Linked DNA regions of Pelodiscus sinensis. The main gene of each other region encodes a partner of the protein of the gene in region 2 in a complex. Links are inferred from orthologs where the notes say so. Each region holds a gene or a part of one and is shown on either strand. Other genes may lie near its edges.

Region 1 (7,509 bases), on a different chromosome or scaffold from region 2:
CTCTCGCACATGCGCCCCGGGCGCTCCGTGTCGAACACCCGCACAGCCTTGTCAAACCCACAGAACAGCTGGGAGCCGTCGGGGGTGAAGCACAGAGAGTGAGCGGCTGTTAGCTCATCCTGGGGACAGATGCACAGAGAGAGGTGTCAGGACTCCTGAGTTCTACCTTGGCTCCGGGAGGGGTTGAGGCCTAGTAGTTAGAGCACAGGAAATGGGAACCAGGCTCTGTACCCACCAGGTGGTTGTAGCAGCGGAACGTGGCCCGCAGTTCCCCATGGAAAGCGTCCCACACATGGATGGGGTTGTCTCGGCTGCTGCTGGCAAAGCTGCAGGATCACAAGCGGGAAACATGAGTGTGCAGGACAGGGGGACAATGGTGGAGCCAGCGCTCCAGAGTGTGGACAGGCCACATGTCCCATTCCCCGCCCCCTTGGGCCAGACAGTCCCTGCCCAGGGCCTGATGAGAAAGGCTTGCACTCTCTCTCAGTGCAGTGGGGTAGACAGCCCGTCAGTAGGGGACGCCCTTTGCAGGCTGCAGCATTTACAAGCAGGTGGGGGGATCCGCAGAGCTCATCAGCGGGAACCAGCAATAGTCATAAACGGTGTCTCCCTCAGCCATTCGCAGCACAGGACTCTGGGAGGAGACAGACACACAGATATGGACAGTCAGGCAGCAAAAGGTGCATCACGGCATGGTGGGGCAAGAGAGAACAAACAGAGCCAGAACTCCTGGTTCTGGGGAGTGAGGACTAGTGGTTAGAGCAGGGGGCTGGGAGCCAGGACTCATGGGTTCTCTTCTTATCTCTGGGAGGGGAATTCAGGCTGGTGGGGGAGCAAGAGATTTTAATTCTTCAGACATGTAAGCCACGAGCAGACTACAATTTGGGGGAACACCCCAGCCCCTTTACCAGCTGACTAGCCCCATCCTGCCTGCCAGGACAGCTATGGCGGGGGGCCCTCCATTTAGAGGCTGTCCCCCACCCACACACCCATGGAACCAGCACAATCCCACCCCCACAGGGAGCAACTCTCCCTCGACAAGCTCCTCCTGCCCCACTCCCCAGCAGTGCCCCTCCCTCCTACCATCTCAGCCACGTCCCCCCACTCCGGGCCGTACAGCTCCACGGGCAGGTTGTAAATGCGCAGGGTGTGATCAGCGCTGTTGGTCAGGAGACAGGAGCCATCTGGGGCCCTGGAGAGAGGAAGGCAGAGCCAGGCCATCAGGGTGACCCCTCTGCCCTAGAGCTGGGGAGAAAACCCAGAAGTCCTGGATCCCAGCCCCCACTGCTCTAACCCACCAGCCTCTAGTCCCTGCCCAATGCTCGGCTAGAAATTCCCTGTGCCTCAGTTTCCCCACTCACTCTTCTGTACTGAGGGTATGAGCAGCACCCATCCCATTGTGGGAAGCCCTCAGCCCTGCCCAGCAACCAACACAAGGGGGTCCCAGTCCAGGGAGTTAGAGGAAACAATTTTGGGGCTCTGTGCTGCACTGAGAGTAGCCTATTTCCACGAGGGGGTGCTATGCCACCCACAGCCCTCCAGGGGCCTCCAATCCCAGGGCAGAGTCCCCAGATATCTACCCTTCCCCAGGCCCCAGCCCAGCCACCTACCACTTGCAGCCCTTCAGGAAGTTCTCTGGCACCTGGCTGTATTCGCCCCAAGCGCCTGTCAACAGCTTGGGGGGAGCCAAGAACTCATAGCCTGGAAGGCTGGGAGGGGGAAAAGAGAGGAAGACACTGGTACAAAGGAAGCCCAGGACACCTGCTCTAACTCAAGCAGCTCCCACTGCCCTCAGAGCCAGAACCCAGACGTCCTGGCTCCCAGCCCTTACCCCCAGTTTTAATGAGCTAGTCTCTGGTTCACACAGCAGCTCAAAACACCCCTCCCCAGCTCAGCCCCCACAATCAGAACCAGATGCTCCCCGTGCCGCTGAGATCCAAGATCAGCAGCTGTATGTGTGGGGCCCCACTTGTCACCAGGTCCTTACTAGCCCTCGTCTTCCCATGCCGCTTCTTGCCCTCCATCCTCCACCGCTTCATCCCCGTCCTCTGCCGGCCCCTCACTCTGCACCCGCTCTGGCGCAGATACTGGGGGGGAGCTGTTCTGCCTGGCCAGCTTGGCAGGCAACGCTTGGGACCCGGGGTCCCCTCCAGTGGGGTCATCCACAGTATCACCGGGCATGCCCGGCTCCATAGCACAGAGGGTTCAGCTGGCAGAGCGCTCAGGGATGTCCGTCTTCTGGCTCCAGCTGGAGCTGCCCAGGGTGCCTGGGGAGTCAGTCATTCCCAGAGCGCAGGACGGGCACCTGCAGAGCCAGGCGAGAAAGAGTTAATGGTGCAGAGCAACTGCCAGAGCCTGGGAAAGAACCCAGCTGTCCTGGCTCCCAACCCCCCTGCTCCAACCACCAGCCCCCACTCCCCTCCCAGAGTTGGGGAGCGAACCTTTGAGTCCTGGCTCCCAGCCCCGCCTCCAAGACCAGGTGTCTCCAAGTTCCCGGCTCTTACCCACGATGGGACGGGGGAGGGGAGAGGAATGGCTGGATGGAAGAACCCACTGTCTAGGGGAGCGCGGAATGCATGGAAGAAACTATTCTCGGGGGGGGGGTGGAATAGCCCACTCTCTCCGGTGGAGGGAAGGATAGGTGGAAGAGTACACTTTGTCCTGGGGTGAGGAGGATGGAAGAGTCCAGCTATTTCGTGGGACTAGGGGAAATGGGTTGGTGGAAGAGCCCAATCTTTCCCATACGGAGGCCCCGCGGGAAGGTCCACTTTTTCCCGGGGACGTCTGGAAGAGCCCACTCCCTTAGGGAGGGGGAGGGTGAAAGAGCCCATTCTTCCTCGGGCGGGAGGGAGGAGGATGGAACAGCCCACTCACTCCTGGGGCGGAGGGAGGTGGAATAGTCCACTCTTTGCGGGAGGGCGTGGAAGAACACACTATCTTCGGGGCTCCGCCGTTACCTCCCAGCAGCACCAGAAGCTCAAGGGCTGACGGCGGCCATAGTAGCAGGAGACCCCGCCCCCTCGCACACATCTCGCGAGAGGTGCCCGGAAACGCTACAGGATCCGAACCATTAGCTCCCACGCCCCCCACTGAAATCCCGCGAGATCTCAGCCCCTGAGCCGAGCCCCGTATGTGGCCCAATGGAGGTGGAGGGCGGCTGGGGTGTGTCTATCCGGACTGCGGGGCAGCTGGATCAGGGCGTGCGGGGGCTTGGCTGGGAGGGAGGGTGGTTGGCGCGGGGGACATAGGCCTGGGGGCCATGCAGCATCCCCTTTGGGGGGAGACATTGGTAACGTGCAATAATTGTTTTATTAGCAGGTAACAAGCCAACAGGAGAGAGCCCCCCAGTCCCAGCTCCAACCTGGGACTGTAACAGTGGGGGTGGGGGGATCTTCTAAGGTGCCACTGCAGCTCTCCGGATGCTTGAGTCCCTTTCTCCCAGGCCGGCTGAGTCCCTCCACAGCTGCCTGGATCCTTTCCCTCAGGATGCCTGAGTCCCTCAGCAGCTCCCCAGATGCCTGGGTCCCTTTCTTACAAACCAGCCCAGTTCCTCAGCTACTTCCCAGATGCCTGGCTTCCTTCCAGGCTGGTCAAGCCACCTGGGCTAGCACTGTTTGTGCTGTACCCATGTGGCTGCCAGGCATCTCTGTGGCCTTGGATTTTGTACAAAAGCCAGATGAGAACCCAGGAGTCCTGGCTCCAAGCCTCCCTCCTCCCCTGCCCCACTTCTAGTCCCCACTCCCTTCTCAGGTCCCAGAAGTTCTGGCCTCCAGCCCCACCGTTGCCAGGATTGTTCAAAGGCCTCCATGATGCAAACTCCATTTGCAACCTTCACAAAGTTTTTTTTTGCCTGGAGTTTCCTTAGTTGTATTGGTTTGTTTCAGGGCAGGTGTGCTTGTCAGCGGCCCCTGTTGGCCAGGGTGGAGTTCTGCTGCCCTCTGGTGATGAACCCCTTTCACACACTCCTGATGGGAGGTTTGGCTCCTGAATCTCTGGTGGCTGAATTCCTCTGCAGCTCCCTGGACACCAGTGTCTAAGTTCTGCCCATCCTGGCCAAATCCCTCTGCAGCTCTCTGGATGCCTGGGTCTCATGGGTGGGCCCTACAGGCGGAATAGGCCCAGGAAGGTCCCATGGGGGCTAAGGTCCAGGGATGCATTGGCTCGAGGGATGCGAAGGCTTAGTCGGTCTCCGCGCTGGAGTTGGAAAACACCTGGGGGGACATTATGGGATGTGTGTGGAGAGCCCACCTCCCAACCTGCTCAGGGACAGATCTCCCCATTCCCTGTAAATCACTCCCCCAGTGGCTGCTTCTCCCTTTTTCCCACTTGCCCCCCCCCAGTGGTCCTTGCCCTGCACCCCCAATAGCTGGAGCCTGCCTCCCAATGCCAGGATTCCCTCACCTGCGCTGTAACAACTGTTGTAGGCTTGCTCCAGCTCACGGGGCATGCTCTGCACACAGCGCAGCAGGATCTGCCCCGGGCCTCCGAGTGGTGCCCGCCACAGCACCTGCCCCATGGTGAATGTAGGGTCATGGAACAGCACCTGGGGGGCAGGGGAGAGGATTGGATTGGCTGTCACTGGGGAATGGGGCAGGGGACTTGTCACCTCAGGGGGGTGCCAGTTCCCATCTGACACCAGGGCAGGAAATGGCTGGCTCAGGGGAGCAGGCAATGGGGCATGGGGCCTGTCCCCTCTAGGTGATGCTGGCGCCCATCCAGCCCCAAGGCAAGGATTGGCTGGCCCACGGGGTGGGCAATGGAGTACAGGGCCTATTCCCTCTAGGTGGTGCTGGCTCCCATCCAGTCCCAAGGTAGGGATTGCTGGCTCAGGGGTGGGCAATGGAGTTTGGGGCTGTCCCCCATAGCAGGGGGCTTTTACCTGGCTGTAGATGAGGTACAAACCCGTCTTCTTCACAGTGATGTCTGGGCCACTGATTTCCAGTGCCTGGCCCTGCTGCAGGAAAGGCTGCCACCAGATCTCAGTCATGTCCCCTTCGTCTGCAAAGCAGATGGGAGGCTGTTAGTGCCCCTTTGCTCCCAGCTCCTCCTGATCTACCCTGTTGGAGCCAGCTCCCCTCCTGGGACAGGAGAAAACCTAGGAGTGCTGGCTCCCAGCTCCCTCCTGCTCTAACCCACCAGCCCCTACACCTCTCCCAGAGCCAGGGAGAGAACCCAGGAGTCTTGATTTTCAGTGTGGGTCACCCATAGAAGGAGGGTACTGTGGTAGGGTGTTGAGGGGGTTGATGACTCACCATTGGTGGAGCAGTGGCTGGGGGCCAGATGCAGAACCGATCGTTTCCCTGGGGATAAGTTGGAGAGAGAGAGACTGTGACTTGCCAATTTCCCTCCCCATAACCTGCCCTTCCTCTCTGTTTGCTCTCCTTTACCCTAGGCTGCCAAAGCTTGGATCTGCCACTGGGAACTTAAACAGCCCTACCAGGTGGCACTTGATCCCACTGCTCACACCAAGCAGTGTGAGCCAAAGGGCTTTAAGTCTGGTGTCCCCAGAACTGCCAGGTTACAGCCCAACCTCAATGCTAGGTACTATCCCCAGAGCATCTCAGGCGGCACCACGCAAGGTCCATAGTTTCACAGAGATAATCAGTGAGGGATCCCATCTCTGCCACCATCTCAGCTTGGGGTTCCACTGTGGGAGCAGGGAGTAACAGCTCTTACCAGAAATTGACCTGAGGTCAAGAATTGGAAGCAGAATCCAAGCCTGATACCTCTGCCATCAGGGATGACTCCAGATTAAGAGAGGTGAGATCATCATGTGGTGCTTCCCTCCCTGAGTTTGTTACTTTCCATTCTCTCGTCCTCCCCCCCCCCCCCCCGCAGTCAGTCCCTGCCCTAGGGGCTGGATGGGAGATGGTGGTCCTTAGAGAGGAGAGGCTCTATCTGTGTCCCATCTTCTGCACACAGGGGCTGTGTCTACATTGGCATCCCTTTCTGGAAAAGGGATGCTAATGAGACACTTCGGAATTGCAAATCCGCGGGGGATTTAAATATCCCCCGCGGTATTTGCATTTACACGGCTGCCGCTTTTTTCCGGCTCGGGGTTTTTGCCGGAGGATCCCTTATTCCTACTTGAAAGTAGGAATAAGGGATCTTCCGGAAAAGGGCTTATTTTCCGGAGAATTGCGTCTATACTGGCGCTTTTCTCCGGCAAAAACCCCGAGCCAGAAAAAAGCGGCAGCCATGTATATGCAAATGCTGCGAGGGATATTTAAATCCCCCGCGGATTTGCAATTCCAAAGTGTCTCATTAGCATCCCTTTTCCGGAAAGGGATGCCAATGTAGACACAGCCAGGGAGAAGAGGACACACACACATAGATTGACAGCTGCAGCCCCTTGTCCCTTCCTCCCTCTTGCCTCCCGCCAGCCCCAGACACTGACTATGTGGCTGTCGCTGGTCCTGGTCCCTTGAGTTCTCGGAGAACCTCTTCCCTCTTTGCCGCAACAGGGTCCCCAGGAGCAGGCCTGGCTCCCCGGACTCCTGAAAGAACGACGGACAGGAGAGGGTTAACCCCGGAACAGAGCTATTGCTCTAACTCCTACACGCCACTCCCTTCCCAGAGCTGTGGAGAGAACCCACAGGAGTCCTGGCACCCTGCCCTCCTGCTCTAACCCACCAGCCCCCACTCCCTTCCCCGACCCGAGCAGAGCACCCGGGAGTCCTGGCTCCCAGCCCTCCTGCTCCAGCTGTCCCCACGCCCCTCCCGGATGTGGGTGTAGCTGGGCAATGCTCGTTGGAAGTGGAACTAAGGAAGCGAGGCCGCTGTTCAGCTCTGTAAAGATTACCCAGACCTGCAGGGCAGTTACACAATGTGCAGGGGCCCGGGGAGGGGGTCGGGGGGCGGCCTGGGCCTGGGTTCCCTCCCCGGCTCTGGGAGGCGGTGGGGGCCGGTTGATCTTAGCAGAGGGTGGGCGGGGAGCCAGGGCGCCTGAGTTCTCTCAGCAGATCGTGGACAGGAGTGGGGGCTGGGAGCCTTCCCCTCCCCCTCGCGGGGTTTCCCAGAGCTGTGGGTCGTTTCCTCCTCCTCCGCCCGCGCTAACGATCGGTCCGGGCTTTGCGTTTGCGGCTTCGCATGTCCCCCAGCCCCGCGCCCACCCCAATGGGGGGGACCCTCAGTTTTTTAACCCTTCTGGGGTCTTCCCTCGTGGAGAATAAGGGGAGAGCGAAAGCAAAGCAGCGCCTCGGATTTTCCCTGGTAAGATGCCCCCTCCTAGGGCCGGGGAGAGAACCCAGTCCTGGCACCCAACCCCCCCTCTAACCAGCAGCCCCCACTCCTCTCCCAGAGCCGGGGAGAGAATCCAGGAGTCCTCCCCCCCCCATGTAACCACTTGACTCCCTTGCTCTCATAGGGCCCCCTGTGAATCGGGGGGGGGGTCCTCACCTGAGTCACTTCTGGGGATTGGGTCTCTCCTCTCCTGGCAGCCGCCAGCTCCCCCCGCAGCCGGGCCAGCTCCCCCCGCAGGGCCCCAAGGCTGGCCTGCTGCACTGTGAG
Region 2 (7,900 bases):
CTAGTGCATTAGTCTGGGAGCTGACCTTGTCTGTGAAGACAGAGGCAAAGAAAGCATCAAGTACTTGAGCTTTTCCAACATCATTTGTCACTAGGTTTCCTCCCTCATCCAGTAAGGGCTCAACACCCTCTCTGATCACTCTTATTGCTAACATGCCTGTAGAAGCTTTTCTTGTTACCCTTCAAATCCCTTGCTAGCTGCAATTCCAGTTGTGCTTTTGCCTTCCCTGCATTCTTGAGCAATATATTTATACTCCTCCCTTGTCATCTGTCCAAGTTTCCACTTCTTGTAAGCTTCCTTTTTGTGTTTAAGCTCACCAAGGATGTCCCCTTTAAGCCAATCTGGTTGCCTACCATATGTGCTTTTCTTACTGTGCATGGGGATGGTTTCTTCCTGTGCCTTTTTAATAAGGCTTCTTTAAAATACTGCCAGCTCTCCTGGACTCCTTTCCCCTTCACATAAGCATCCCAGGGAGTCAAGTATATCTTTTTGTTTTAATAAAAGCACCCTTTTTAAGGTGATGATTTGATTCTTGTGTCCTGGAAGATCATAGGAGGTCTATGTATAGGGTTGCCAGGTGTCCGGTCGGTATTTGTGGCTTTTGTCTGGTTTAAAAAAAAACCCTGAAAATACCAGACATGTAAAATATACGGTATTTTCTGTTTTTCTCGGATTGAAGGCTGCTTGGGACATTCTTCCCCCGCTGTGTCTGGTGGGAGCAGGGGAGTGCAGGAATTCAAAGGGTCCATGACTCTTATTTTTTGGTCTTTTTGGGGGGGTGGGGTTTTTTGTTTTAACTTTTGGTTCTTTCTTTTTTTCTTTTTTGCTCAACCAATTCTTTTCCTGCCATGTTTGGTGTTTTTTGTAAAACACTATATATATGGATGCCTAAGACTGAGGGTCAGCTATCAGAGATTCCAGTTTCTTTTCTCTTTCTGCAAAGCTCTCTTTTGGTAAAATCAGGTCTTCATCACGTGATCCCTCTCCTGTCATCCATTTCCAGATAAACAGAGGCTAGGGACAAGGTTCCTACCCATCCTAGCTAATATGTCCATTGATGGACCTAACCTCCATGAATCTAGCTCTTTTTTTAACCCTGTTAAAATCCTAGTCTTCACCACATCCTCCGGCAAGGAGTTCCACAGATTGTGCACTGAGTAAAGGAAAACTTCCTTTTGTTTGTTTTAAACCTGCTTCCTATTAATTTCATTTGGCGACCCCTAGTTCTTTCATTGTGGGAATAAGTAAATAACTTTTCCTTACTCACTCCTTCTACAACAAAGTAATGATTTTATAGACCTCTATCATATCCCCCCTTAGTCACCTCTTTTCTAAGCTGAAAAGTCCAAGTCTTTTTAATCTCTCTTCACATAGGACCCATTCAAACCCCTAATAATTTTTGTTGCCTTTTTCTGAACCTTTTCCAATGCCCATATTTCTTTTGAGATGAGGCGACCACAGCTGTACTCAGTATTCAAGATGTGGGTGTACCATGGTTTTATATAGAAGCAATAAGATGTTCTCTTTTTTTTTAATGATTCCTAACTTTCTAGTTACTTTTGACTGCCACTGCACACTGAATGTATGTTTTTCAGGGAACTATCCACAATGACTCCAAAGATCTCTCTCTTGAGTAACTGTAGCTAAATTAGTCCCCATCATATTGTATGTATAGTTGGGATTATTTTTTCCAATGTGAATTATTTTACATTTATCAACATTTCATTGCATTTGCCATTTTGTTGCCCAATCACTTAGTGCGGTGAGATCATTTTGAAGCTCTTCACAGTCTGCTTTGGTCTTAACTATCTTGAGCAGTTTGGTATCATATGCAAATTTTGTCACCTCACTGTTTATCCCTTTCTCTAGATCATTTATAAATAAATTGAATAGGATTGGTCCCAGGGCAGACCCTCGGGGGCTCCATTAGTTATCGCTCTCCACTCTGAAATCTTACCATTTATTCCTACCCTTTGTTTCTTGTCTTTTAACCAATTACTAGTCCGGACCTTCCCTCTTATCCCATGACAACTTATTTTACTGAAGAGCCTTTGGTGAGGCTGAGGTATCTTGTCAAAGGCTTTCTGGAAATCTAAGTACACTATATCTACTGGATCCCCTTTGTCCACATGTGTGTTGACCCTCTCAAAGAACTCTAGTAGATTAGTAACGCATTATTTCCCTTCACAGAAACCATGTTGACTTCCCCCAACAAATTATGTTCATCCACGTGTCTGACAATTTCATTTTTTTACTATAGTTTCAACTAATTTGTCTGGTACTGACATTAGATTTTGCCAGGATCACCTCTAGAGCCCTTTTTAAATATTGGCGTCACGTTAGCTATCTTCCAATCATTAGGTACAGAAGGATAGGTTACAAACCAGTTAATAGTTCTGCAATTTCCCATTTGAGTTCTTTCAGAACTCAAGGGTGAATGCCATTTGGTCCTGGTGACTTGTTACTGTTTATCAGATTTTTTCCAAAACCTTTTCTAATGACACCTCAATCTGGGAAAATTCCTCAGATTTGTCACCTAAAAAGAATGGCTCAGGTTTGGGGATCTCTGAATTAAATAATTCATTTAGCTTCTCTGCAATTACTTTAGCATCTTGATCTTCCAGGGACTCAACTGGTTAAGCAGGCTTCCTGCTTCTGATGTACTTAAACATTTTACTATTAGTTTTTAGTTAGCTGTTCTTCAAACTCCGTTTTGGCTTTTCTTATATTTTTACACTTAATTTGACAAAGTTTATGCTCCTTTCTATTTTTCCCACTAGGATTTGACTTCCACTTTTTAAAAGATGTCTATTTCACTGATTCTTTTACTGGTTGTTAAGCCACAGCAACACGTTTTTGGTTCTCTGAGGCTATGTCTACACTGAGTTTAGCCGAAAGAGGCAATGCAAATGAAGCACAGATTAGTATTTTCTCGTGCTTCATTTGCATAATCTTTTCCGAACCGTTTTTGCACAAAAGCAAGCAGGGTGGATGTTTCCTTTTTGTGGAAAAACCCCCTTTTTGCACAAGATCCTTATGCCTCAAAAAAGGAGGTATAAAGATCTTGCGTAAAAAGGAAATGTCCACACTGCTTGTTTTTGCACAAAAACTCCTTGCGCAAAAACGGATCAGAAGATTATGAAAATGAAGCGTGAGAAAATGCTAATCCGCACTTCATTTTGAATTGCCTTTTTCAGCAAAACTCATAGTGTAGACATAGCCTTACTGCGTTTTTTAATTTGGGTTATACTTTTAAGTTGGGCCTGGTGCTATGGTGTCTTTTAAAAGTTTCCATGCAGCTTGCAGAGCTTTTACTTTTATAACTGTACCTTTTAATTTCTGTTTAACCTCCTTGTTTGTGTAGTTCCCCTTTCTGAAATTAAATGCTAGTGTTGGGCTGCTGAGGTATTTTTCCCACCACAGGGATATTATTACATCTGGTGTGGGAGGTCAATATTGTTCTTTGTAGGAAAGTAGCTAGTGAAACCCTAGGACCTGGATAATGCTGTCAATTAATGCATCAGTGCAGGCCTGCTTGGGAATGGACCAATGGGGGCACAGAATGGGCTCTTTCTAGGCTACATCTACACTGGCAGCTTCTTCCACAAGAACTGTTTTGCGGAAGACTTCTTGCACAAAAAGTCTTCCACAAGAGCGTGTCTACACTGGCATGTGTTTCTGTGCAAGAGATGTGCTTTTGCGCAAGAGCATCCATGGCAATGTGGACTTTCTCTTTGCAAGAAAGCTCTGATGGCCATTTTAACCAAAGGGGCTTCTTGCTCAAGAAATTCATGTTGCTTGTCTACACTGGCCTCTTCTGGAAGAGCTCTTGCACAAGAGAGCTTCTTCCTGAGAGGGAGCATCAGAGTTCTCGTGTAAGAAACTCTGATTTCATACAGTAGAACGTCAGTTTACTTGTGCAAGAACACGTGGCCGGGTAGACACAGCCTTAGTGTCTTCTTTTTAGATCCTCTCTCCTTTGTTCAGGCACATTTTTTTTTCAATTAAGAGGCAATAAAGGGGTCCAGGAAAACCTAGACATGTGCTAACCCTAGGTTGTAATAGTACTTGTTCAAGTTCTGCAACTTAGGAGAATCATGCATCATGATTCTGCATTAGCAAAACTCAAGAGAACTGTTCAGCACAGGGTCCCTGTTTCCGCCAGAGTGCTGTGGTACACTGGACAGTGGGAGTTAATGGCCCTGTGTGAACATGACTTTCAGCTCCCACTAATCCATTGGTAAATCACAAGTATAGCACAACACATGGAGCCAGGTGGCAGCCTGAGGCACAATGAGATACTTACGGGTGATGCTGCACCACTGAGGCAATCATTCATGTGTGATGACCACAAATGCCCAAGTAGGCATGTGCGCAAGCCTTACACAAAAGTTGGTGGCTGTACATTGACCTAACATGGGCTAACCAAACCTGGCAGTGTGGCTGCGGGATAACACCACTATTTGGGAATGTCCTGGTTTACATGAACCTGCAGGGAAGTTGAAAAGCATCAGAGGGATAGCGGAGCAGGTCTGTAACTGGAAAAACTTAAGCAAAATGCAGGACAATGTAGCACTTTAAAGACTAACAAGATGGTTTATTAGATGATGAGCTTTCGTGGGTGGGTCTGGCCCACGAAAGCTCATCATCTAATAAACCATCTTGTTAGTCTTTAAAGTGCTACATTGTTCTGCATTTTGCTTCAGCTACCCCAGACTAACACGGCTACATTTCTATCACTGGAAAAACTTAAATAGTCTTGTGGCACCTGTGAGACTAACACCACCTGGAGATGGTACCTGAGCTTTCGTGGGCACAACCTACTTCTTTCACCTGAAGATGTGGGTTATGCCCAGGAAAGCTCATGCTGCCCTCTACATGTTTTGCTGGGCTGCAACCCTACCTCTTACTGTGAGACAAAGAGCTTGTGGGAGCAGTTTACTGCCACACACGCAGCACCTTCCTCCAGCCCAGCCCCTAGCCCGCCCTCCATCTCAGCTCCTGCATAGCGCCCCCCTCCCCTCCCGTTCCAGCTCCTGGGGGCGGGGGGGGGCTCCGGCGCGCGGGGTAAGGGCGGCCCTTCCATGGGGGCTCGTGCAGGCCTTGCGCGCAGTGCGAGCACTTACTGGAGCCGAGGGCACCTGGGGTTTCCTGTTGGACCCGGGCCCGGGGGAGCGCGCCGCGCCCGCAGCTGCTCTCGGCCCGGGGAACGCGCGAGGTGCAGCAGCAGCAGCAGCGGCGGCGGCGGCGGCGGGCGAGGCGCGAGCCTCTCGGAGCCATTAGCGCCGCTGCGCTGCCCGGCTCCAGAAGCATGGCGGGCGCCGGGCCGTTCCGTGCCGTGCTGGCCATGCTGGAGGGCTGCTACGCTGAAGTGCTGGGGCTCGAGCGGTTCGTGCAGAGGCTCCGGGAGGCGGCAGCGTGCGGGCCGGGCCACGCTGAGCTGCTGCAGCAGGGAGACTCCGAGCTGTACCAGGCGTTCGTGGCCCAGTGCGTGGTGTGCGTCCCCCGGGGAGCCAGAGCCATCCCCCAGCCTGTCTCCTTCCAGCAGGTACTTGCGGCGGCGGCGGCGACTGGGGAGGGGGCTGTAGGGCTGGCGTGCCTCACGGGGCACTTGCTGCCTCCATCGCAAGCCTTATGCTTTGGCGGCGCGAATAGTTCCCGGCTGCTTGCCCCGGCTGCGGACTGACCTTGCTTTTGCGGAGCAGAGGCTAGTTCCAGAGCAGGAAGGGGCGCTCCGCTGCCTTTTCTCCTCTTCCCATGGAAAGAGCGAGGCTGCAGTGCCCCGCGCGGGCTGCCTATGCTCGCTCTTCTGTCTCGGTGCTTTCCTCTCGCTTGTCTCCCGCGCCTGGGCTTGCGTGCGAGTTAGAGCCTGCACATTGTCTTGTAAGACAGCAGCCACTCAGATGTTTACTTTTCCGTGTGGGGCCAGGTAATCGCTTGGCCCTGGGGGGGGAGGGAGGGAGCGGGGGGGGGGTCGGGCTGAATCTTAGCTTCTTCTGCCACAAGCCCTGCAGCGGGGTGGTTCTTCCCTCCCCTGATGGTGATGGATGAGCACGTGTCACCAGGCTCCTAGGCTGCAGCTAGATGAGAGTGAGGGTTAAATGTAAGATTACATTCATATGGTTCCATGCCTTTATGTTTTCCTTGTTCGGGTTGGCCCTCCCTGGTCCAAAAAGAGGGAAATTTGCTGGACCAGGAGAGGTTGCCTGCCACCAGCCCTGTCACCCCCCACTGCCTCCACTTCTGCCCTGGCCATCCCCCACTGTCTCTAGCCCAGCTGGGCTGCTGGCCCTTCCCTACTGCAGGTTATGTTTCCACCCTGGCTGCCCCCCTGCCTCTAGCCTGGCCGGGCCATTGGCCCCTGCCTATAGCCTGGCTGGGCACTCTGCCCTGGCCGTCTGGCCCCCAAGCCCTGCCGGCCTCAGTTTTACTGCCACAAGCCCTCCTGCCACGAGACTCCAAGCCCCAGGGCTCTCTGGCACTGAACCACGGATGTTGCCGGACCAAAGTGGCCCAGTTTTGGGAAGTGCAGCCTCTATGCTACCATCAAAACCAGGGACAGGGAACCTCTGGCCTGTGGGCAATTCACCAGGGTTAGCTTGGTGGGCCACCAAATGCATTGTTTTCCTGAGTGTCCACATGGCTGCTCACAGCTCCTAGTGGCTGTAGTTTGACATTCCCAGCCAATAGGAGCTTCAGGAAGCTGTGTCACTGTAACTGCCACTGTGTGGATTTGAACCTGGGATCTCTGACGCGGAGTATAGGAGCCTCTACCTTGGGAGCTAAAAGCCAGCTGGCTCTCAGCCCCAGCTGTAGAGGTCTCTTGAGCTTAACTGTTGCTGTGGTCTAGGTACCACTTGCACTGCTTAGTAACCACATTAGGTGTGTGGGTTACACCACTTCCCGCAGCTCCTATTGGACAGGAACGGTGAACTGTGGCCACTGGAGCTGCGAGTGGCCGTGCCTGCAGACACTCACATAAACAAAGTGCCTGGCGGGCCGCATCTGGCTACCATGCTGGAGGTTCCCCATCCCGGATCTAAACATTGAAAAAGAAACCGTAATTTTTGTTTAATTAGAGCTTGTGATGGATGGAAGGGGTATCCACAAGAGATCTTTTCTAGACATATCAGCCATTCTATTAATTAAATTGCCTGTAAAGGGTTAAACCCAAAGACAGTGGGTCTCCAGGAAGTGTTATCAGGGAGCCAGGAGAGCCAATGGGAAGAGAGTGAGAGATTTGAATTAAAACAGGTTCTGTGATATGGGAGGAACATGACCGCCACCATCTGTTCCTTGCCCTTTGAGGTTACTCCCCTCTGGCCCTTCAATGACATCCATCCTTATTTTCACTGTGCAGCTCTGCCTTGGAGATGAACATCTGGCCCTGATCTCGTTTGGCTGTTTTGTCGAGATTGGTTGCTCCTGGGCTACTCTGCCCAACTGCAAATATGAGCACTAGGCTATTTTCTGGCCCTTCTGTAGCTTCAGTTGCCCTGAAAGCTATAAAAAAAATAATTTGGTTTGGATCACTGGCTTTGCAAGTTGAACTTTCTGTGAGCCTTTTTTCCCCGCAGGCAGTAAAAGAAAAAAAATCCCTAAACTTTCAAATAGTCAAAAGGGGGGGAAAAAGCATCCTTTTAAAATTGAGTTCTGTGTTCCTGGTTCAAAATTATTCCACCTCTGCCACCATGTCAATGCGGTTTCCCACTCTGGCACTTTGAATGCAGTAGGTGGGGACCCACAAGAAATCTTAAAAATACCCTGCCACTAGAGGCTTCTGTGGTTTTTGTTTGTTTGTTTGTTTTTTAACACTTCCCCAAACGTTCCCTGACTTTGGGTGGTACACTGCAACCATCCAAATGCAAAAAACCCTTGAGAGTCCCGGAAGACAATTTCT
Region 3 (7,236 bases), on a different chromosome or scaffold from region 2:
CAGTGGGGGGAGAGGGCTGAACACCAGCACAGGCTCTCCAATGCAGGAATGGGGGGGAGGGGGCACGGAGTCTCAGGGGCTGGATCCAAGTAAGCTGGGGGCCACATCCGGCCCTCAGTCTCCCCCCCAGTTTCGAATGACCACTGACAAGGGCCAAATTGGTTCCTGCTTCCAGATCTACTCCCAAAAGCCCCCCACTGTTCCTATCAACCTCACCAGGGGCGGATAAGTCCCTGCTCTCTGCCCCACACCTTCCCCTGCTGGCTGACCCATCCCGAACCACGTGAGAGATCCCCTAGCGCCGTGGTACGAGTGGGAAGTCCAGGGGGTACCTCCCCACAGCTGAAATTTGGAGAAAACTGAATGTTTGCTTTAAGTTTTACAGCACTTTATTCTTTTGGTACTTTTTACACCCAAAAATCTCATCGCCCGCCCGGCTACGATGAAGTTGTTTAAACAAATGTGTTGCAATGGTGAAACCAAGTGGCCTGGCAGCAGCACCTCCAGACAGGTCAATTAGGAATGATTTGGGGGTGTTCCCTGGCAGGCCAGACCAGGAAACGGGAAGGAGCAAACCAGACAGATGATGTGGGATCAAGACAATTTATTTGCTGCCAAGAGGAGCAGGGTTGTGGAGTCGGAGGCTAGACACAGGCGAGGGTCCCGGCGGCAGCGGGGGGCCGGCTTCGGGGAGGAGCCTGGCCCCATCTCGGCTCAGCGGTGGTGCCGGCGGACGGCTCAGAGGACGGCCTGCGGCTGCTGCGTCATCAGGACCCCGAAGCGCTTCTTGATGGTGATGCGGTGGCGGGAGTACTTGTCATCCGGGGAGAAGCGGGCGGGGTGGGCGGAGCAGGTCGGCTGGCCCGTGGGGTCCACTTTCTGCCAGGGAGAAAGGGACAGGATGTGTGAAAGCAACCGGGGCCAGACCCATCGTCCCTGGCTAGCCCGGTTCTGCTCCCTGCCCCACAGCAGTGCCGATGCCCCTCATTCCCGACCCCCTGCCCCCTCCAGCCTTGCCAGTGCCCCTCGCTCCTGATCCTCTGCCCCCAGCCCTGCCAGTGCCCTTCACTCCCGCCCCACAGCCCCTGCCCCCAGCCCTGCCAGTGCCCCTCACTCCCGCCCCACAGCCCCTGCCCCCCCAGCCCTGCAGGTGCCCCTCACTCCCGCCCCACAGCCCCTACCCCCAGCCCTGCCAGTGCCCTTCACTCCCGCCCCACAGCCCCTGCCCCCAGACCTGCATGTGCCCCTCACTCCCGCCCCACAGCCCCTACCCCCAGCCCTGCCAGTGCCCCTCACTCCCGCCCCACAGCCCCTACCCCCAGCCCTGCCAGTGCCCCTCACTCCCGCCCCACAGCCCCTGCCCCCAGCCCTGCATGTGCCCCTCACTCCCGCCCCACAGCCCCTACCCCCAGCCCTGCCAGTGCCCTTCACTCCCGCCCCACAGCCCCTGCCCTGCATGTGCCCCTCACTCCCGCCCCACAGCCTCTACCCCCAGCCCTGCCAGTGCCCCTCACTCCCACCCCACAGCCCCTACCCCCAGCCCTGCCAGTGCCCCTCACTCCCGCCCCACAGCCCCTGCCCCCAGCCCTGCATGTGCCCCTCACTCCCGCCCCACAGCCCCTACCCCCAGCCCTGCATGTGCCCCTCACTCCCGCCCCACAGCCCCTACCCCCAGCCCTGCCAGTGCCCCTCACTCCCGCCCCACAGCCCCTGCCCCCCCAGCCCTGCAGGTGTCCCCCTATCTCGCCCCTCAGCCCCGCCCCCCCAGTCCTGCCAGTGCCCCTCACTCCCGCCCCACAGCCCCTGCCCCCCAGCCCTGCAGGTGCCCCTCACTCCCGCCCCCCAGCCCCTGCCCTCCAGCCCTGCAGGTGCCCCTCACTCCCGCCCCACAGCCCCTGCCCCTCCAGTCCTGCCGGTGTTCCTCCCTCCCCCCCCACAGTCCCTGCCCCCCAGCCCTGCACGTGCCCCTCACTCCCGCCCCACAGCCCCTACCCCCAGCCCTGCACGTGCCCCTCACTCCCGCCCCACAGCCCCTGCCCCCCAGCCCTGCAGGTGCCCCTCACTCCCGCCCCCCAGCCCCTGCCCCCCAGCCCTGCAGGTGCCCCTCACTCCCGCCCCACAGCCCCTGCCCCTCCAGTCCTGCCGGTGCCCCTCACTCCCGCCCCACAGCCCCTGCCCTCCAGCCCTGCAGGTGTTCCTCCCTCCCCCCCCCCCCAGTCCCTGCCCCCCAGGCCTGTCGGTGTTCCTCCCTCCCGCCCCACAGCCCCTGCCCCTCCAGCCCTGCAGGTGCCCCTCACTCCCGCCCCACAGTCCCTGCCCCCCCAGTCCTGCCGGTGTTCCTCCCTGCCCCCCAGCCCTGTCGGTGCTCCTCCCTCCCGCCCCCAGGGTGCTGCCCTGCAGAGCAGGCGGGGCGCACGCCGCTCCCGCGGATCCGGATTCGCTCCCCTTGGGGGGGGGTCCCACCTTGAGGGTGTAAACCCGCTCGCCCTGCGCGTTGAGGTAGAACTGCAGGAACATGCTGCGGCCCCAGCGCCCCGCGCCACGTGCGTAGAACCCGGCGGGCAGCTGGCGGAAGGGCGGCCGCAGGGCACGCTGGGAGCTGTAGTGCGCTCTGGCCCCAAGAACGCGCCGGGCGTTCCAGGGCGCTCTACCCCCAGTGCATGCTGGGAGTTGTAGTGCGCTCTGGCCCCAATGCATGCTGGGAGTTGTAGTGCGCTCTGGCCCCAATGCATGCTGGGAGTTGTAGTGTGCTCTGGCCCCAATGCATGCTGGGAGTTGCAGTGCTCTCTAGCCTTAACAAAAGACAGGACTATGTAGCACTTTAAAGACTAACAAGATGGTTTATTAGGGGATGAGCTTTCCTGGGCCAGACCCACTTCCTCAGATCAAATAGTGGAAGAAAATTGTCACAACCCTATATACCAAAGGATACAATTAAAAAAAATGAACACATTTGAAAAGGACAAATGACATTTCAGAACAGAAGGAGGTTGGGGGGGAGGGCTAATGATATTAGAGGTGATAATTGGGGAAGCTATCTTTGTAATGAGTAAGATAATTAGAGTCTTTATTCAAACTTAGGCGTAAAGTGTCGAATTTAAGCATGAATGACAGTTCAGAGGATTTTCTTTCAAGCATGGTCTTAAAAGGCCTTTGAAGCAGGATGCAGGTAATCAAGTTGTTGAGGCAGTGTCCTTTCTGGTTGAAATGGCAAGAAACGGTTTTTTCTTTGTGATCCTGTCTGATATCTGTTTTGTGGGCATTGATCCTCAGAAGTGTCTGAGACGTTTGTCCAATGTATATAGCAGACGGACACTTTTGGCACATGATAGCATAAATTGTATTTCTGGATGCGCAGGAATATGTGTTCTTGATCTTATAACGCCGTCTGCTATGTGCATTGGACAAACGTCTCAGACGCTTCGGCAAAGGATCAATGCCCACAAAACAGATATCAGACAGGATCACAAAGAAAAAAACGTGGCTCAAATTGCGTCTCTTTTTCTGAGTTTAGGGTGCTGCGTAGACGCACCCTGAGAGGCAGGTCTGACGGCGGTAAACGGACTTAATGGGACAGCGGGAAACTTGGCCACGCCCAAGTGGACACCCAGCTAACTCAAATGCTGCCAGACCATGGCTGTTGCTGGAACAGAGTGTGCCGGACTAGAGAGGTTCAGCCTGTATGCACATTGGGGGTAGTTTTGCCAGGTGTCTCCTATTGGCCCGCACAGTCCGGTATTTGCAGTGTCTGTCCAGTTAAAAAAAACAAGAAAATACCTGTTTTTCTCGGACAGAAGGCTGCTTGGGACTTTCTTCCCCTGCCACGTTCGGTATTTTTGGTGAAACTCTCTGGCAACCCTAACTGGGGGCAAGCGGGAATGTAGCTAAAATGTAGCGTTACGCAGTGCAACGTGCCTCAGTGTACCTCGCCGGCCATCCGGACTAACTTGCGGAAAGGAACAGCCTAGCGTACGACTGTGTTTTGCCCTGTATCATCGGTGACGGGGTGGGACTGTTCTCCAGCATAGAAGGGGCGTGGCCTTGAGTTGGAGGGGCGGGGTCTCGGGAGAGGGGCGGGGCTCAGAGCCAGCCTCCCCAGGGTGGGATTGACAGGCACCAGGAAAGTTGGAGGGGTGGAAGTGGGCGGAGGGGGGGGATTGAGGGGCCCTGGTAGAGCGGGTGCAGGGGAACCCCAGGATCGGGCTCGGAACCCCCCCCCCAGCTCAGAACTCCCGATGTCTCTGGATTCCGGAATTGTTTTCATTCGACCCGGCACCTGGGAGCAAGAGGGGGGGGGAGTTTCCCATCAGCCCTTGCTCTCCGACAGGGGGGGCTGCTGACATCCTCTGCAAAGGGACCCCGTGCACCCCCATCCCCGCCATGAGCGCCCCGCCGCCCCCCCTCCTGCTGCCCACCTTCCCTGGCGCCGCCCTGCTCCTGACCTCGCCCGACGCCCCCGGGGGCAAACTCATCGTGAAGCTGAAGCCCGAGGGGGGCCCGGAGTCGGCCCGGGCCCAGACCATCATCCTGACAGGGGCGCCAGCAGGCTGGGGCCCCCCGCGACGGGACGGGGCCCCCCTCCGGCTCCAGCTGGCCGCCGGGATCCGCACCGTGCTGCTGAGCAAGGCTGGGGAGGAGCTGGGCCCCAGGGAGGCCCCCCCGGCGGCCCCAGCCCGGGCGCCCCCCGCCAGCGACCCCTCGGCCTCCTGCACCTCCAAGGGCGTCTACGAGAACTATCGGCGCTGGCAGCGCTACAAGGCCCTGGCCCGGCGGCACCACCCGGGCACGCCCGACGCCGAGGCCCTGGCTTGCTTCTTCATGTGAGAGCCGGGCTGTGGGGCTGAGTGAGGGGCACCGGCAGGGCTGGGGGGCAGGGGCTGAGGGAGCGAGGGGCACTGGCAGGGCTGGGGGAGTAGGGGTTGTGGGGCAGGAGAGAGGGGCAGTGCTGGGGGAGCAGGGACCATGCAGCGGGAGCAAGGGGCACCAGGAAGGCTGGGGGGCAGGAGTGTGGGGCAGGGCTGGGGGGTAGGGACTGCAGGATGAGAACGAGGGGCACCCGCAGGGCTAGGGGTCAGGAGCTGTGGGTCAGGAGCGAGGGGCACCAGCTGGGCTGGGGGGCAGGGGCTTTGGGTTTGGAGTGCAGGGAGAGGCAGGGCTGGGGGGCAGGGGCTTTGGGTTTGGAGTGCGGGGAGGGGCAGGGCTGGGGGGCAGGGGCTTTGGGTTTGGAGTGCGGGGAGGGGCAGGGCTGGGGGGCAGGGGCTTTGGGTTTGGAGTGCGGGGAGGGGCAGGGCTGGGGGGCCGGGGCTTTGGGTTTGGAGTGCGGGGAGGGGCAGGGCTGTGGGGCCGGGGCACAGGGCGGGAGCGAGGAATAGGGCTGGGGGGCAGGAGCAAGAGGCTCCCCTCAGCGCTGCCGCCCCCCAGCCCCGTGCTGCGGTCGCTGGGCCGGCTGCGCCCCGAGCTGGCGCCGGAGGAGGGGGTGCCGCGGGCCGTGCAGGAGTGGGAGCGCAGCAGCAACTTCGAGCGCATGATCTTCTACGAGATGGCCGAGAAGTGAGTGTCCCCCCCACGGGGCCGCCCCAGGGACCCCCCCCCCCCCGCCCCAGCCTGACCCCTCCTCTTCCTCAGGTTCATGGAGTTTGAGGCCGAAGAGGAGCTGCAGATCCAGAAAATGAAACTCCTGAGCAGCTCCCAGTTCCAGCCCCTCCCCGCCGAGCCCCCCAATCTCCCCGGCCCAGCAGGCCCCGACGCCGGCCAGCAGCAAGGTACCCCCCAAAGGCCGGTAGGGGAGGGAAAACCCCACTTCCCGCCAGCCCACGGGCCGATCTGCCCCTCCTCCCCCTGTTTTTCTTTTGGCACGAGCCTTTCACTTTTGCACGTTTTTTCACACCCCTTCGCACGGCTTTTGCACAGACCCAGCACATTTGCACCCGTGCGGGGTTTTTTCCCTCTCCATAGCACCTTGGACCTTTTTCCCCCCCCTTTTTTTCTGTACATACCGAGCACTCGGGCTCGATTCTTGCCCACGCCTGAGACCTACCTGCTTTTTTGCACAGAATCTGCACGTCCTCGCACGTGCCCTTTGATGCTTTTTGCACGGACCTAGAACGTTTGCACTTTTCAGATCTACCTGGAATCTTTGCCCCCTGAGACTTGGCCCCAGTGGGTGCACCCTGCCTGCTTTTGCACCTACCCAGAATCCTTGCACAATGGTTCACACCCCATCGGCATTTGCACGTGATTTTTTTTCGCACGTGTGCGTGTTTTATTTTTGCTCCCACCGAGCACTTGTGCACACACCGAGAACCTTGCACGCACCCACAAAACCCGTGTACGTTTCCCCCCGTGCAGGATTTTGGGCTGGGTGGAAGGTCTCCAGGACTGGGGGTGCACAGGAGTGTCCCCCTCCGGTCCCTGCATGGTGTCTCCCCTTCCCCGGCAGTGTACATCCCCAAGAAAGCCGCATCCAAGGGGCGCCAGCCGCGCCGCCGCCAGCGCCGCCCGCCTGGCCCGCCGGCCGCGGGGGAGCCGCGGGAGATCCCGCCGGAAGCTGTGCGGCAGTACGCTGAGATCATGGAGGGGCTCCGGCCCGGCTGGGAGGAGGAGGCGGGGGGGCACGGCGAGCCCCAGAGCCCGGCCCCCGGGGCGTTGCCGGACCCGGCGCTGCTGCCGTACGTCGAGCAGCTCTGCGCGGACGAGAGCTTCGTCTGCAAGGTGCGTGCGTCCACCGGGGGGCGCCACATTCCCACCCCCAGGGCCCTCAGGGCCCAGCACCCAGGGCACACAGACCGGGGCAGGGGAGGGGACCCAGGTGTCCGGGAGGGTCCCAGGCCCCAGGGGGAAGAGAGCAGGAGAGGGGAGGGGACCCAGGCATCCGGGACGGTCCCAGGTCCCAGGGGGAAGAGAGCAGGACAGGGGAGGGGACCCAGGTGTCCGGGAGGGTCCCAGGCCCCAGGGGGAAGAGAGCAGGACAGGGGAGGGGACCCAGCTGTCCGAGAGGGTCCCAGGCCCCAGGGGGGAAGAGAGCAGGACAGGGGAGGGGACCCAGGCGTCCGGGACGGTCCCAGGTCCCAGGAGGAAGAGAGCAGGACAGGGGAGGGGACCCAGGCATCCGGGACGGTCCCAGGTCCCAGGGGGAAGAGAGCAGGACAGGGGAGGGGACCCAGGTGTCCGGGAGGGTCCCAGGCCCCAGGGGGAAGAGAGCAGGACAGGGGAGGGGACCCAGGCATCCGGGACAGT

The links.
Region 1: TERT (region 2) and WRAP53 share a complex: the UniProt entries of both Homo sapiens proteins name them as parts of the telomerase holoenzyme complex. The link is inferred for Pelodiscus sinensis from reciprocal best matches to the Homo sapiens genes TERT and WRAP53.
Region 3: TERT (region 2) and NOP10 share a complex: the UniProt entries of both Homo sapiens proteins name them as parts of the telomerase holoenzyme complex. The link is inferred for Pelodiscus sinensis from reciprocal best matches to the Homo sapiens genes TERT and NOP10.

The regions. Positions count from the first base shown.
Region 1 is NC_134734.1:10,097,484-10,104,992, reverse strand, and holds the start of WRAP53 (telomerase Cajal body protein 1), read right to left. Parts: upstream 3,083-7,509; 5' UTR 2,958-3,082; exon of another isoform or gene 2,875-2,957; intron 2,775-2,874; exon of another isoform or gene 2,442-2,774; intron 2,306-2,441; 5' UTR 2,194-2,305; coding exon 1,988-2,193; intron 1,710-1,987; coding exon 1,611-1,709; intron 1,193-1,610; coding exon 1,084-1,192; intron 635-1,083; coding exon 546-634; intron 327-545; coding exon 236-326; intron 120-235; coding exon 1-119. Other genes in the region: uncharacterized protein LOC102454093, read right to left, coding at 4,102-4,211, 4,402-4,543, 4,880-4,998, 5,253-5,300, 6,398-6,497, 7,399-7,509. UniProt on the Homo sapiens protein: RNA chaperone that plays a key role in telomere maintenance and RNA localization to Cajal bodies. Specifically recognizes and binds the Cajal body box (CAB box) present in both small Cajal body RNAs (scaRNAs) and telomerase RNA template component (TERC).
Region 2 is NC_134712.1:139,865,571-139,873,470, reverse strand, and holds the start of TERT (telomerase reverse transcriptase), read left to right. Parts: upstream 1-4,834; 5' UTR 4,835-5,311; coding exon 5,312-5,548; intron 5,549-7,900. UniProt on the Homo sapiens protein: Telomerase is a ribonucleoprotein enzyme essential for the replication of chromosome termini in most eukaryotes. Active in progenitor and cancer cells. Inactive, or very low activity, in normal somatic cells.
Region 3 is NC_134740.1:2,572,951-2,580,186, forward strand, and holds NOP10 (H/ACA ribonucleoprotein complex subunit 3), read right to left. Parts: upstream 2,623-7,236; 5' UTR 2,518-2,622; coding exon 2,464-2,517; intron 880-2,463; coding exon 739-879; 3' UTR 590-738; downstream 1-589. Other genes in the region: NUTM1 (NUT family member 1), read left to right, coding at 4,381-4,820, 5,422-5,550, 5,626-5,762, 6,440-6,711. UniProt on the Homo sapiens protein: Required for ribosome biogenesis and telomere maintenance. Part of the H/ACA small nucleolar ribonucleoprotein (H/ACA snoRNP) complex, which catalyzes pseudouridylation of rRNA.